Linked DNA regions of Rhinolophus ferrumequinum. The protein of the gene in region 2 purifies or fractionates together with the protein of the main gene of each other region. This does not show direct contact. Links are inferred from orthologs where the notes say so. Each region holds a gene or a part of one and is shown on either strand. Other genes may lie near its edges.

Region 1 (7,106 bases), about 23 Mb from region 2:
ATTTGCCATCCTAAAAAAACTATCAACTGTATCAGAAAGAGCCCTGCAGAAGGAAGTTTTCTAACCTAATTCATGGATTAGCTGGACATTCTCAGGCAGATCATAACTGTACAAAGCGCAGTTCCCCCCTCAGTAAAGTAAGGAGGGTACAGAATTAGATGAACTCCGATTCCCTCTGAGCTCTGAAATCCTAGGAAATGGACTGGGGAATCGTTACAGGTGTGCACTGTCCTATCTGATACCTACAACCACAAGTAGCTATTCAGCACCTGAAATGTGACTGGTCTGAATTGCGATGTGTCATAAACATAAAATATATACCATATTTCATAGACTTAGTACAAAAAAGGGCAAAATATTGCATTAGTAATTTTATATTGATTACATGCTGAAATTAGGTTAAATAAAATATTTAGGTTAATAAATTAGGTTAATAAAAATTACTAAACTTAATTTCACCTGTTCCTTTTTAGTTTTTAAAAATGTGACAATTTGAGGCTCACACTCTGAACATTTGATTTCTACTAGACAGCACTGTTATAGACTATTTTCAGAAGACATAGGAAAATGTGACTCTGTGGCCAAAGAGACAAACAAAATGCAAAGCATTATCAAAAAGAGTCTTGAAAACACAAAAACACTCTTCTGGCCCTATATAAAACCATGGTGTGTCCCTCAGTCCTGTACTGTTTAGTTTTCCTTTCAGTACTTGAAGAAAGATACAACGCAAAACAAAACTCAAGTAAACAGAATGATCAATAAGATAGGCAATAAGGTGAGTAACAAGACTCACAGGCATGTATGGAAGGATACAAGTACAGGAGCATAAAGACTACAATATGTGATAAGAATCGATAAAATCAGATAGAGGCTGAATGAGAAGGTATTAAAGGCTGTTCAACAAATGTCATAAAAAAGCCAGGGAGAATTCTTTGAACCTTTATGGAGGCATTTCAGACAGAGGTACAACTGTGCAGAGCAGGTAGCCTTATATGAAAAACTTAGGAGATGGCTCAGACTAAACATAAAAGTGAGTTCCAAAAAAAATTACATTAACAATTAATCCATAAAAGTGGTTACTATGGAATCACACAATTCCTTGTGTTGCATCTCTGAGACAGACACTAGTATTCTCCAACCCCTACCATGGTAACTCTCTTTGGTTCCTCAGTGAAAAAAAACTGTACACCAACTCAGTGTGCAATTTCTTTGCTTACATGTCACCTTTAAGAACTATCCAAGAGATCAGACAATCTCCAACTTATAAAACCCATCCCCTGCCAAAGTATTTAAGTTGAAGTATTCAGTGAAACAGTCTTTTATCATTCATTCTTCCACTTGATCAGATCAGTCTACCTATGTCTTCTATGATCAGCTCTGAATCCTTATGGATGAGAATCACATGAGCTCTTTTTAAAGAAAGGGTATGCTTTGGTCCACTCACTTTTATAGTTCATTCTTATTCCTGCGAAACAGTTACGAAGATTCGATTGTGTACTAGTGACATGACCACTTACAATTTAGGTGTAGAGAAATCATGATTAGATCTAGAGCATCTTATACATTTAGTATTTTACTTAGTACCTCCAACTTAAAGTCAATTTAAAACACACTGAATTTCTGCCTTTTCTACCAGAACAAATCTTTTCCATAATGATCATTACGTGATCCCAGTGATTTCTTTTCTTCCTCTTACAGAATCTTTTATTTTGGCTTTAAAGCCTTAGAAAAGGTACTCCTGGAATACTTTCTTGGACTGCCTAATTTTAGTTTGCACTTCATGCCAAGAAGAAACAAAATTAAATTTCTTTAAATACACCAGAGATGAGCATACATCACAAGCAAATTAATCTGATAAAAATATTTCCAAGACAAAGAAGAAAAGCCTCCCCTTATTTAAAAAAAAATTCAGAATTTTTCCCTCAGTAGATTTTTTTAAATTTATTAATAACTAGATACATGCTAAGTATACGCCAATTGTGTTGCAAAGGGAAATGAAATGGTTTAAGAACTATTTTTCCTTAAGGTTGGAAGGAACTCTAACGTTTATCAAACTAAGAGGTCTAAAGAAAATCCAACTGATGTATCATCCAAATAATTTCAATATCAATTTCAAGTTAATATCAAGACACATTTTCATAATAAGCAACATTTTACTAATTATAAACACAAAGCTTAAAACTGCTTTACAGATGCTAAAGAATAGAAAATTTCACATCAATTCACTGACAAAAAAACAATAACTTCACCCATGGGATTAACAATGTTACCAAAAGATGTCTGGTTAGATTTCCATGAACTGGATACCAGTGTTGGTTGTATCCTTGTTTCCTTAAAAAGCATATAGCAGAAAGAAGCCACAAAGGACTCAGATGAACATGAAAGCTGCATTTCTACTAATACTGGCTTTGTCCTCCTTTTAATTAAATTATCCTATTCGTATATGTGCTGCCGAAGCGAGCACTAAATTATCCTATTAAAAAGGGGGACATGCACAAGAATGACTCCCCTATCATATAGCATATATTTACCTATAAGTACAATAAGTTACATTAAGGTCCTTTGGCCTTCAAGATTTTGCATACTTTTTGACTGACATTAAACATCAACTTCCTGCATCAAAAGGGCAAAACAAAAAAACCAGTAACATCTTCCTTAAAAGAAAAAAATTCACGGACAAAGATGAATTGCTTTAAACCCACAGCTTAAAAGTATAAAAAAAAATTCATAACTACACAGTTTACCCACTTACCACATACAAACCAAAGTTAACTGAAAAAAATAAAAGACAGTAGCCCTACTAACCGCTATATGCTGCTGACACCTAAACACCGGTTTTAACAAACGCACAGAAATAGAAACACTTGTCAAAGACTGACGTTTATTCCTTTACCCACACATACTTTACTGTTACTTGGACTTGGCAGTAACAAAAAACTCGCCTCCTTTAGTAAACCAAAAAAATGAAATATTGGGTTAAGAAAGGATTATGGAGAAACACCTTAAAGGACAGAAAAGTATTTGTATTTATTGAGGGCCTACTAAATTACCCACTTATATTAGTTTTACCCACTTAAATTAGCTCAACAACATACTTGCAAATGGAATTCATATCTGAGCTGGCAGAAGAAAACCAACACTCCTGAAAAGCAGCTGGGAGGAGTGGTAGGAAAAGAGGGACGACTTGACGTTTTCCCGCATCACCACCAAACCGCTCCCGCCCACCGTCTTCCAGTCCTCAGGAACCCAAACACGCTGACTGAGGACGCGTTCCGGAGGCCGGCGGCATCTCCTGTCATTCGCCAGCCACCCAGACCTCCTGTCATATTTGGGGGGATGACCCATTCCGAGGGCACTGCCTGCTGGGGCTCGGTTCGGACTCCGGAAGACCGGAGATGGAGTTAGGGGCGAGAAGACTTCTGTTCCAAGCACAGCTGTGAGGGCTCAGTGCCCCGGGACACCCGAAAGCCAGGGGGGATAACCCTGGGACAGAGGCCGCGACATCCCTCAGGATCCCCACTACGGAACTGGGACAGCATTCGGGGGACTATGGCTCCGCTCCCTCCGCTCTCCGCAAGAAGGCAAGTCGGAACGGGTCGCTCAGCACTGCGTCAGGCCCTCCATCGTGACGGGACGGGATGCTGGCGGGGGTCCGGGGTAGAGAAGGGCGGGCCGGCGGGCGCCCCACTGCCGGAAGGGGCGAGCCCGCCAGCAGCGCTCCCGCCCCGACCGGGCTCACCTTCAGGTCGTTCTCCGGTAGGTACTTGCACAGCCGCGCTATCTCCACATACTTGTCCAAGTCTAGGGGCGCCATTTTAGAAATAACAAGCCCGGACGGCGGCGGCGGCGGCGGCGGCTGGAGTATCGGCGGCAGCGGCAAAGGCCGAAGCCGGAACTCTTCCTACGTCACGTCCGGCCCGTGAGAGGCATCTGCGCAGCGGCGTAAAGCTTGACCCGATTCTCCCCGCTGCTTCGGCACGCCCCGATCCTTCTCCCGCTGAACGCAGGCTGCGGGCCCTAAGGGGCTCCCTGGCTACATAAAATGAAACCGGCTGCGACCCGTAGTTGTCTGCCGCTGAGAGGGATGGGATTTGTAGTTTTCAGTAGCGGCCAACTACGCCTCTTTTCCTCCTCTTCCCTTCCTCCAGACTTTAACGTCTGGGGACCCAACGAGGCTTTTCCGATGCAAAACGGCGAAGTATGTGACTCTAGTCATTCCCTGGTTTCCCACTACGACTCATTTAAGCATTCTGTCACGAGAACATCTTCAATTAAAAATTAGGTAAGCTTGGCCGTAGTAATCTGTTTGCACCTTTCCGAGGCCTTGTGAAAACCTTGCCTAAATCTGTGGCAGAGATGTCAGGCTACGAATCTTCCAGCCTGGAAGGAAGCGAAACAAATATTAAAGCGTTTTTTATGCCACATGCTATATAAATGCTGTTTTTCCTCATAATGATTGATAGGAAAGCAAGGCTCAGAGAGGTTAATTTTCCCAAGTTTCAAAGGGAATAGGCGCGGGAGCCAGGATTGGAACACGGGTCTAGCTGGTTTAAATATACTTCAGTGTGAATCCCATGCGAGCACGTAGTTTTTGTTGTACCCTCAGTTCCAAGAACAGGATCTGGCACTAAGTACCTTCAATATTCGTTCATTCAACAGCTTTTACTGAACACCAACTATGTGCCAGGTACAGCTGTCGACACTTGGGATATTCAGCAAACAAAATAGACGAAGATCCCTATCCTCAACCCATAGCTACTTTGTAGTAGAGGAGACAGAACATAAGCAATAAATATCATAAATATATAGTATATTTAAAAGTAATCAAGTGCTGGGAGGGGGGAAGCACAGCATGATAAGGGAGGTGAGATGATGCATTTTTAAGAACCAACAAAGAGGTGGGGGAGTTAGCCAGCAGATACTAGAGGGGAGTTATGAGAAAGAGCTAACACAAAGGCCTTAAGATGGAAGCATATCTAGAACCTTGGAAATGGCAAAAAAAATTAGTGTGGTTGGAGCAAAGTGAGAAGAGGAGATGTGAGAAAAGAATGTTGTTGTTTTTGTTTTGTTTTGTTTTTACTGATTTTTACTTTTAATGTAACGGAGTTACTGCAGGGTTTTGAGCAGAGGAGTAGTAACATCATCTAACTCATTTTAGAAGGATCTGGTGCAATATGAAACTAGGAGGCAATGGTTGCAGCTGAGAGACGAGTTAGGAGACTGTTACATAATCCAATAGTAGCAGGTTCTCAATCTATATTTGTTACTCAAGTGGCCCTGGACTGGATCCTCTTGTTCTACAATGTAGTTGGGGGACATTTGGCTAAAATTTAATCAAGTCTCTGGGTGGAGTTCTTCATATATTTCTTGTAACTGTTCTGTAAGTATAATATCATTTCTAGTAAAATTAATTTTTTAAAATTGGTTGCACAATGAATGATGCTCACAAACATACATTTCTTCATTTGTTCAATAATAGTTACATAGTACCTATGATGTGAATGATACAGGAGACAAACAATAAACATAAATGAGCACGTAATTAAATGCAAAGTGTGATTACTGTTAAAGAGGGAAAGAAGGGGTACTGTGAGTTAAAAAATGGAGGAGAGGCCTATTTTAAGATTGTCAAGATAGTGGAGGTTAAGTGTGCAGACTCTAGAACCAGAGTTCAAGTCTATTACTCACTGTATCACTTTGGCAAAGTTATTTATCTTTTCTGTGCTCCAGTTTTCTCAGCTACAATATGGAGATAGTAATAAGTGCCTACCCCATACGGAGATGTTCAGAGTAATACTTTATAGGCTTGTACTAAGGTTTAATAAATTTAATATGTGGAAAGGGGTTAAAACGATGTCATGTCCAGAGTGAGTGCAATGTGAGTGTTAGCTCTTCAGCATTGGACGGCAGGAAAGGCCTTTCTGAAGAGGTAACATTTAAGACTTTAGGGGGAAAAAGTATAAGGGAGAATATGCTCAAAATATCTTGAAGAAAAAAATTCCAAGTGAGGAAAATATGCTACTGTTGACTTTTTTTTTTTTATACTCCTCTTTGGAAAGCTGGCAGTTCACTTTTCATCTCTGCACCTCAGTAACTGGGAATGAATCCTACTCAAGATACTATCTCAGAATTGGGAAGGAGGACAAAGTGCTTGAAAGGAAAGTGTCACCGGCATCATTGCTTCCCTTGCTGATAAGCCAGTGATCAGGTAGGTAATGAAAGCATATGAGATCCTTTCCAGTGAAAATAACTGGTAGTCCTCACATTACCAAATTGTCTGGCAGCAAGAAGCTCCATCCTGCAGACCCACCTTATTCGGTGACCCTCACTGTTCACATGAGGAGCATAGAGAAAGGAGGAAGGTATCCCTGAATGGTGGGTGAGTTCTTAGAAGAGGTAATAGACACATTGGGTGGTTTGTTACACAGACAGTGAGTGTACAGAGCTTGCTGACTGGAATATGTCATTAGTCTTCCTTGCACAAAGCAGAAGATCTGGGCTCCTGGTTCTGCCATTTGTGTGAGTTAGTCATTTTAACTTATCTGGGCCTTGATTTCCATTTTAAAAATAGATCTCAAAAGTTCCTTCTAGCACTTTCTGAAATGTGATTTCTAGTCTAAAAGCATAGGTCCCACAATGAAAACTGTTTGCTATTTTGCCCACAAACCTCTTCCAGTTTTTCTTGTTTATGTGCAACTCCAGCATGGTATTTTGAAAAGTACTTTGAAAAGCCAAAAGACATAGGGGACATCAGAGCATTCTACAACTCTAAGCAGAAATCTCCATCTAGATGCACATGGACATATGGCAGAGCCAACCTGCCCTTGGCTTCCTTTCCTGAAGGAGAGCAGAATGACTAAATACCCCTAAACTCCTCTTTGGCAGTCAGTGGAGATTTTCCCATTAATATGAGAACTCACAAAGACTCCAGGTGTTTGAAATAGGATGTTTGAGCAGTGAAGAGAACTGCAGACCATATTGTCAATAAATTTTCATTATAGTTTCAAGTAACCAAAATATTTACCAAGTTGGCCTTTCACCTGTACTATCCAACACTCTCAACTGCTTCCTCTGAGGTAGGTGTTACTATTCCCATTCTGTAGATG
Region 2 (7,130 bases):
TTGGTGCGTTTTGGAGGACACTAGGAAACCAACTCACAATGAGATACCACTGAGATACCGTTAGAATGGCTATTATCAACAAGAGAAGTAATAACAAGTGTTGGAGAGATTGTGGAGAGAAAGGAACCTTTATACACTACTGGTGGGAATGTAAATTGGTACAGCCACTGTGGAAAACAGTGTGGAGGTTCCTCAAAAAATTAAAAACAGAATTACCATATATCCCAGCAATCCCTCTTCTGGGAATCTAGCCAAAAAAATCTTAAAACGTTTATCCACAAAGATGTATGTACCCCTATGTTCAATGCAGCATTATTCACTGTGGCCGAGACATGGAAACAACCAGAGTCCTTCAACAGAAGATTGGATAAAGATGTGGTACATATACACAATGGAATATTACTCGGTCATAAGAAAAGATGAAATAGTGCCATTTGCGACAACATGCTAAGTGAAATAAGTCAGACAGAAAAAGTTAAGAATCATATAACTTCACTCGTATGTGGGATATAAAACTGAAAGCAACAAACAAACAAAAAATCATCAACACAGACAGCAGTTTAGCAGTTACCAGAGCGTAAGGGGGTTGGTAGAGGAGGGTAAAGGAGATTAGATACATGGTGATGGAAGGAGAACTAACTCTGGGTGATAAACACACAGTGCAGTATCTAGATGATGTATTATAGAATTGTACACTTGAAACCTATATAATTTTACTAAACAATGTGACCCCAATAAATTTAATAAATGTTTTTTTTTTAAGTTGGTAAAATAAAAAAAAGAGAATCAAGGATTTTTCTTGCCTTTCCTACATGAAATATACCTCTGAGGAACAAACAGGTAAAGTTTCTCTTTGTAGATATATTTATTCCATGAAGAAGGGTAGAATGAGAATATTATTTTCTAGTCCTATATTAATAAACTAGACCAGTGGTTCTCAGTCAGGGACATTTTGCCGCCTGGGAGATAACTGACAATGTCTAGGGACAATTTCGGTTGTCACAATTGGGGGAGTTGCTACTGGCATCCAGTGGGTAGAGGCCAGCATGCTACTAAACATCGTACATTGCACACAACAGCTCCCCACAAGAAAGAATATCCTGCCCAGGATGTCAGCAGGGCTGAGTTTGAGCCACACTCTACACAATCATCCTCATTAGTTACTAACATCACGAAAAGACCACCACTGTGCCTCCTGATAGAAGTACTAAAACCACCTATGAATTAGTTTTCAGAAATAATCTAAGTCTAATTAAGTCTCTAACTACCATTTCACAGGAAATACAGGGGACTGAGGAACATGCTAAGTTACATCAGAAGCTCAACAAATTCAGACTTTGAGAAACTACAGGACAAATGATCTGGTTTCTTACAAAATAAATAGAAAGAGAAAAACAATGGAGGATGGACTTAAAGATTTAAAAAGATTTAAGAAACATATCAGCTGAGAAGTATGGACCTTACTCAGCTTTTGATTCAAATAAACAATTTTTAAAAAGTAAATATTTATGAAACAGTGGGGGAAATGGGAACAACCAAATGCGTGATGGTATTAATAAATGACTGTTAACTTTTGTACTGTGATTTTGTTTAAAAGAAGAATCCTTATCTTTTAGAGATAACATACTGAAATATTTGTTGATGAATTGATATAATGTCAGAAATATGCACCAAATAACTGGGAGTGGGGGGAAGAGAGCAGGGGTATGAAACAAGACTGGCCAGGAATTGATCATTGGAGAATCACTGGCATAGAAGGTACATGAAAGCTGGTACTTTGACTGAGCCAGCTCACTTATGGCAACAGTACAACTGAAGCACGGGTCTCCAACAAAACAGCCTTACTCACCCAAGGTAAATAAGGGCTCATTGTTCTATTCTCTCTGCTCTTTCTTTTTTTGTTTGACATTTTCCACCACAAAAAAGTTTGAAAAACAACAAAAAAATCTTCTAATAGCCTAACTCAAGGAACATTTAAAACTTGTTTTAGCAGACCCCTCTGCACTATTTAATGCTATTCGTTACTCCATTTTTCCCAAACTCTCCATTCCGTGGATACCATGGCAGCAGACTCTCCAGATTCTTTCAGCTTGTCTCTTCTCATCCTCCATCACGGACTTCTTTTACTCCGTCTGCCCTTTAATGTTGGTTTTTCCCAGGATTTCACTGTCCGTCTATTTCTCCCTCTGTACACTCCACTTGGATGATGGCATCCACCTTCATAGTTTTCTTTACCATCACCTCTTTGTTTATGGCAATTGTTTACCTTCCTCCACTCAACCTTTCCTCCTCCTGGATTCTTTTTTTTTTTTTTAAGATTTTTATTGGGGAAGGGGAACAGGACTTTATTGGGGAACAGTGTGTACTTTCAGGACTTTTTTTTTCCAAGTCAAGTTGTTGTCCTTTCAGTCTTAGTTGTGGAGGGAACAGCTCAGCTCCAGGTCCAGTTGCCATTGCTAGTTGCAGGGGGTGCAGCCCACCATCCCTTGCGGGACTCGAGGAGTTGAACTGGCAACCTTGTGGTTGAGAGCCCACTGGCCCATGTGGGAATCGAACCGGCAGCCTTCGGAGTTAGGAGCATGGAGCATGGAGCTCTAACCGCCTGAGCCACCGGGCAGGTCCCTCCTCCTCCTGGATTCTTTATCTCAGTTGATATCACCCCATCGTCTAAGCTAGAAATTTTAAAATTACTATGACTGATGCTCTTTCTCTCCACAGGACTGACTCTGGATACTAATCAATCAGCACGTTTTCCCACTACTTGAGTGTTTCCTCCTGTCCTTCCCTATTATCTCTATCTTAGTTCCGTCCCCTATCCTCTCCTGACTGAAGCACTGTCAGAGCCTCCTTCTGATAAGTCTCACTGCCGCCAAAGCAGGAACCTGGCTCCTCTGCTTGGAATCTCCATCACTAGCCATAGTATAATTCTCAAATTTGGATAAAGGGTCAGGTACATGTCAATTAAGTTGTCTAGCATGATATTACTTAAACAAAATGAGGCATAAATTCCTAGTGTTTATAGATCTCATTCTTCTATAGAAAGCAAATTTACAAATTACGTAATTGTAGATGTTAACATTAATTTAATGCGATGAATGAGCTTGTTTTGCTGAGACCAAATTGCCTCTGGAAGATTGAGTACGCCGCACATGGTCCAGGCACAGGTTGCTCTCCGGACTGGCCTTTCTCCACTGACTCTGGAAGGACTGAATCTCTCCTGCTCGCCCCTCCAAACATACGCGAAATCTTCCCTCACCGAGACAGCATCTGGCCTTCTCTCCACCCTAACGTATCGTTTATAATTTAAGGCTGAGTATTCTTTTCTCATTAGCCCTTGACAACTAAAAGAGTACTTGGCCCCAACTCACAAACATGGGACAGAACTCTGTTAGAAGGCGGTCCCCACACGGATGTGGACTGTGTCTTTATTTTCTTTTTAGCTTACCACAGAAATAGAAATACAGTACTTTAGAATTTTTGAAGAGAATTCAGCCTCGCTTCAAAGCTCTGTCGCCGCCTGTTTCCCTCCCGAGGCCCACAGCCTCCATTCCCGCCGCCCGCCATTCCCCCGCTAGGTGGCGCTCACTGACGCCCACGACCGCCCGCCCGGGAGCAGTCCGCCCGGATCGAGCTACCCATCACCCACCCTTGGCGATGACTGGCTATTTCGCCGAGGGCTGGGGGAAGAGCCAGCGGAGACGCAGAAGCATCGAGTATGGCGAGTGCACAGGCTCCTGTGACAGTGCGTGCGCATTCAGGGCCTCGAGCTGGTTTAGACGCCAGCGGCAGCTCCTCCGCCGGCCTGAGGGGGCAGACCGGATTCCTCTGTGATGGAAGGCGGAACCTGCTGAGGGGTCACACTGATAAGGGCTGGGCCACACTGAGGGGAGGAGTCACGTTGAGAGGCGGAGTCACAATGACCGGCGGAGTCACTGAGAGGTGGGGTCTCTGCGTGGGAGAAATACACGAGAGGGGGGTGTCGCACGGAGGGGTTCTGGTACATACTGATGTTGCCAGTGTCATACTGAGGAAAGGTCCCGCTGAAGGGGAGGGGTCTCACTGAGGCAGAGCGGGGTCTTGAGGGAAAGGGCCCCTTGAGGAGCTGGGATTGGCCGAGGGGCGGGATCTGGCGGAAGGAGGGGCTTCCCTGTAGTTGGAGGCTTCTCTTTTGAGACAGAGGGTCATTGGGACGAAATAGTCCAGGCTGTGGGTCTCTAGGCGGAGGCTCTGCGATTTGAACTTTATTAAACGAGGGAGGTGGGATGGAGTGAGGAGTCGGGACTACAATAGGGATGCGCTGGCCAAGGGCTCACTACAGCCCTGAGGCATCACAGCCGCCCGAAAAGGAAGAAAAGTGTGACGGAGTCCAGAGGTTCAAGGTGTAGGAGTGGAGACCTGGGAAGTGGGCAGGCTGGGCCGGGGCAGCGGCCAACGAGGAGAGCAGGTTACTGGGCTGCCTTCGATTGTGGCTGGCCGGAGGGGTCGACTTTTCTTCCCTGCTGGTCCGTGTAGCCCAGGAATCTGGCGGCTTCCTGAGCCCGGTCCTCAAATGACAGTGACCTGAGGATGGGAGGGGAGAAAGGTCTCCCTGGACAGCTAAAAGACACTTGAGCCACACGTACGCACAATCAGCCCTTCTCCCTGCGTTGATTCAGCTCGGGCCTGAACTGATTTGACCCCGACGCCCCAGACCCACTCGCCTAGGGCGTCGCCGCCAGCGGTTGGGGGTGCGTACCTGAGGGGGCGTGGCCGCTGCCTGAGGGCCGGGCTGGAAGGAGTTAAGCGGAGGCCCGGCTCAGCCCCGCCCCCGGCAGGCCGCGGAGCCTGAGCCCCAGCGGCGAAGAGGAGCACCGCCGCTGCCGCCGGCGCGCCCGCCCGCCTCCGCCTGCGGGGAGCCCTCCTGCCAGCCGGCGCCCGGGAGCGCCACCGCCACCGCCCGGCCCAGGCCCAGGCCCTGCGCAGAGCGGAGCGGAGCGGCGTCCACCCGGGCCCAGCAAGCCGGCGCGGCGGGGGCGGGCCCAGAATCTTCAGCGGATCTTCCATTCTCTAAGGCGGGAGCGGGAGCCCCGGCGCCCCGGATCGGGCTGGGCCCGCGCCCATGGCTAGCACGGCCTGCCCGGGCCCCGGGGACCCTGCCATGTGAGGCAGGCCCGGGCTGGGGGCCCGGCCATGGCCGGGGAACGGCCCCCACTGCGGGGCCCTGGACCCGGGCCGGGAGAGGCGCCGGGGGAGGGGCCCCCGGGGCCGGGGAGCGCGGGTGCAGGCCCGGGCCGGGGCCGCCCCTCCTCCTACCGGGCGCTCCGCAGCGCGGTGTCCAGCCTTGCGCGCGTGGACGATTTCCACTGCGCGGAGAAGATCGGGGCCGGCTTCTTCTCTGAGGTCTACAAGGTAGGACCAGCAGAGAGGGCAGAGGGGCGGGACCGAGCCTTAGACGGGAGGCTGGAGATACGGGCCCAGTCCCGGGAGACCTGCCCGACCTACCCGGGATTCGCCTCTGCCGCCCCCAGGTTCGGCACCGACAGTCAGGGCAAGTCATGGTGCTGAAAATGAACAGGCTCCCCAGTAACCGGGGAAACACGCTACGGGAGGTGCAGCTGATGAACCAGCTCCGGCACCCCAACATCCTAAGGTGAGCGGGTCCCAGCCGCTTGCTGGGAAGCTTGCTGGGGGAAGGGGAAAGATCCCGCTGGAAAAGTGGGAACTGCGGGAGATGGGGGGCAGGGCTCTTACAGCCTACCCTCCTATCTTCCCTCCCCTCTTCCAGGTTCATGGGGGTCTGTGTCCACCAGGGGCAGCTGCACGCTCTTACAGAGGTGAGGATGGGCCAGAAAGGGGGGACTCCCACCACCACCAAAAGGAGAGTCAGGGCCAGGTGCTTCTACAGAGGAATAGTGAGAGGCAGCAGGACCTCCTCCCAGGGAGGCTGCCCTGAACTTCCCTTTGGGCAAGCCACAAATAAAAGGCCTCAGCTGTTCTCATCCTCTCTATCCTCTAGAACACTGCTGTCCAATAGAACTTTCTGTAGCGATGAAAATGTTCTATATCTGTGATGTCCAAAACTGTAGCCACATGTGGCTAGGGAGCACTGGAAACGTGACTAGTGTGACTGAGGAACCGAATGTTTAATTTTATTTAAACTTAATACTTTAAATGTAAATCGCTGTACATGTATGGGACAGAACACCCCTAGAGCACGGGCTCACCCTTCTGACCTTTGTGATCCTCAGTGTCCGTTGGCTTATAAGTGGGAGACTAGAGTACAGACTGAAACCTTGACGTTCATTCCCCTTCTCTTCCCCCTATGTCCCAGTACATGAATGGGGGGACCTTGGAACAGCTTCTCAGCTCCCCTGAACCCCTCTCCTGGCCTGTCAGGCTCCGCCTGGCTCTGGACATTGCCCACGGCCTGCGCTACCTGCACGCCAAAGGTGTATTCCACCGAGACCTCACATCCAAGGTAGGCTGGCCAATGGGTGGAGGCATGAAGTGGGGTTTGAGACTGTTAGGTCGTCACTAGCCCATGGATGTTGGAATGTGAATAACAGGTATGTTAGGATGTTAGAGTAGCAAGGCGTTGGAGAATGGGGCCTGGATTGAGGGGGTGTGCTCTGAGGGACTGAGTACCACACTGTGTTTTGGAGTGACAGATGATGCTGCAAGATTGGGGTGCACTGGAGAACTGGGAGGTCAGAGAGCCTTGGGCTTATTGTGGAATGACAGAGCTTTGGGTATAGCCTGGGAGAGGGAAGAGCAGAACGTGATGGGTGTGTGGGGATGCTGTATGTGTACGTCAGAACTGTCTGATCCGACGGGAAGACCAAGGCTTCACAGCTGTCGTGGGCGACTTCGGGCTGGCTGAGAAGATCCCTGTGTATAGGTGAGGTAAACACCCCTGTCCCCTAAGCCTCTAGAAGACCCCTAGCTAAAGGAAGCCCCCGGGGACATTTCCCTTGGTTGGGGAGGGGCCGACCTTCTCTTCTGTTTGGGGGGATGTCTGAGTGGGGTGTTTCTCACCACTCTGCCCCTGCCCTACAGGGAGGGGGCACGGAAGGAGCCATTGGCTGTGGTGGGTTCTCCGTACTGGATGGCTCCAGAGGTGTTGCGGGGTGAGCTGTATGATGAGAAGGTAA

Evidence for each region. Proteins that work in one complex are often made in the same cells at the same time.
Region 1: the proteins of TESK1 (region 2) and RABEPK purify together in Homo sapiens (affinity purification with mass spectrometry; 3 studies listed by BioGRID and IntAct, with this or other methods). This does not show direct contact. The link is inferred for Rhinolophus ferrumequinum from reciprocal best matches to the Homo sapiens genes TESK1 and RABEPK.

Annotation. Positions count from the first base shown.
Region 1 is NC_046295.1:74,837,676-74,844,781, forward strand, and holds the start of RABEPK (rab9 effector protein with kelch motifs), read left to right. Parts: upstream 1-4,106; 5' UTR 4,107-4,282; intron 4,283-6,059; exon of another isoform or gene 6,060-6,208; intron 6,209-7,106. Other genes in the region: PPP6C (serine/threonine-protein phosphatase 6 catalytic subunit), read right to left, coding at 3,740-3,814. UniProt on the Homo sapiens protein: Rab9 effector required for endosome to trans-Golgi network (TGN) transport.
Region 2 is NC_046295.1:51,807,478-51,814,607, forward strand, and holds the start of TESK1 (dual specificity testis-specific protein kinase 1), read left to right. Parts: upstream 1-4,115; 5' UTR 4,116-5,169; coding exon 5,170-5,388; intron 5,389-5,507; coding exon 5,508-5,629; intron 5,630-5,764; coding exon 5,765-5,813; intron 5,814-6,310; coding exon 6,311-6,457; intron 6,458-6,794; coding exon 6,795-6,877; intron 6,878-7,035; coding exon 7,036-7,126; intron 7,127-7,130. UniProt on the Homo sapiens protein: Dual specificity protein kinase activity catalyzing autophosphorylation and phosphorylation of exogenous substrates on both serine/threonine and tyrosine residues.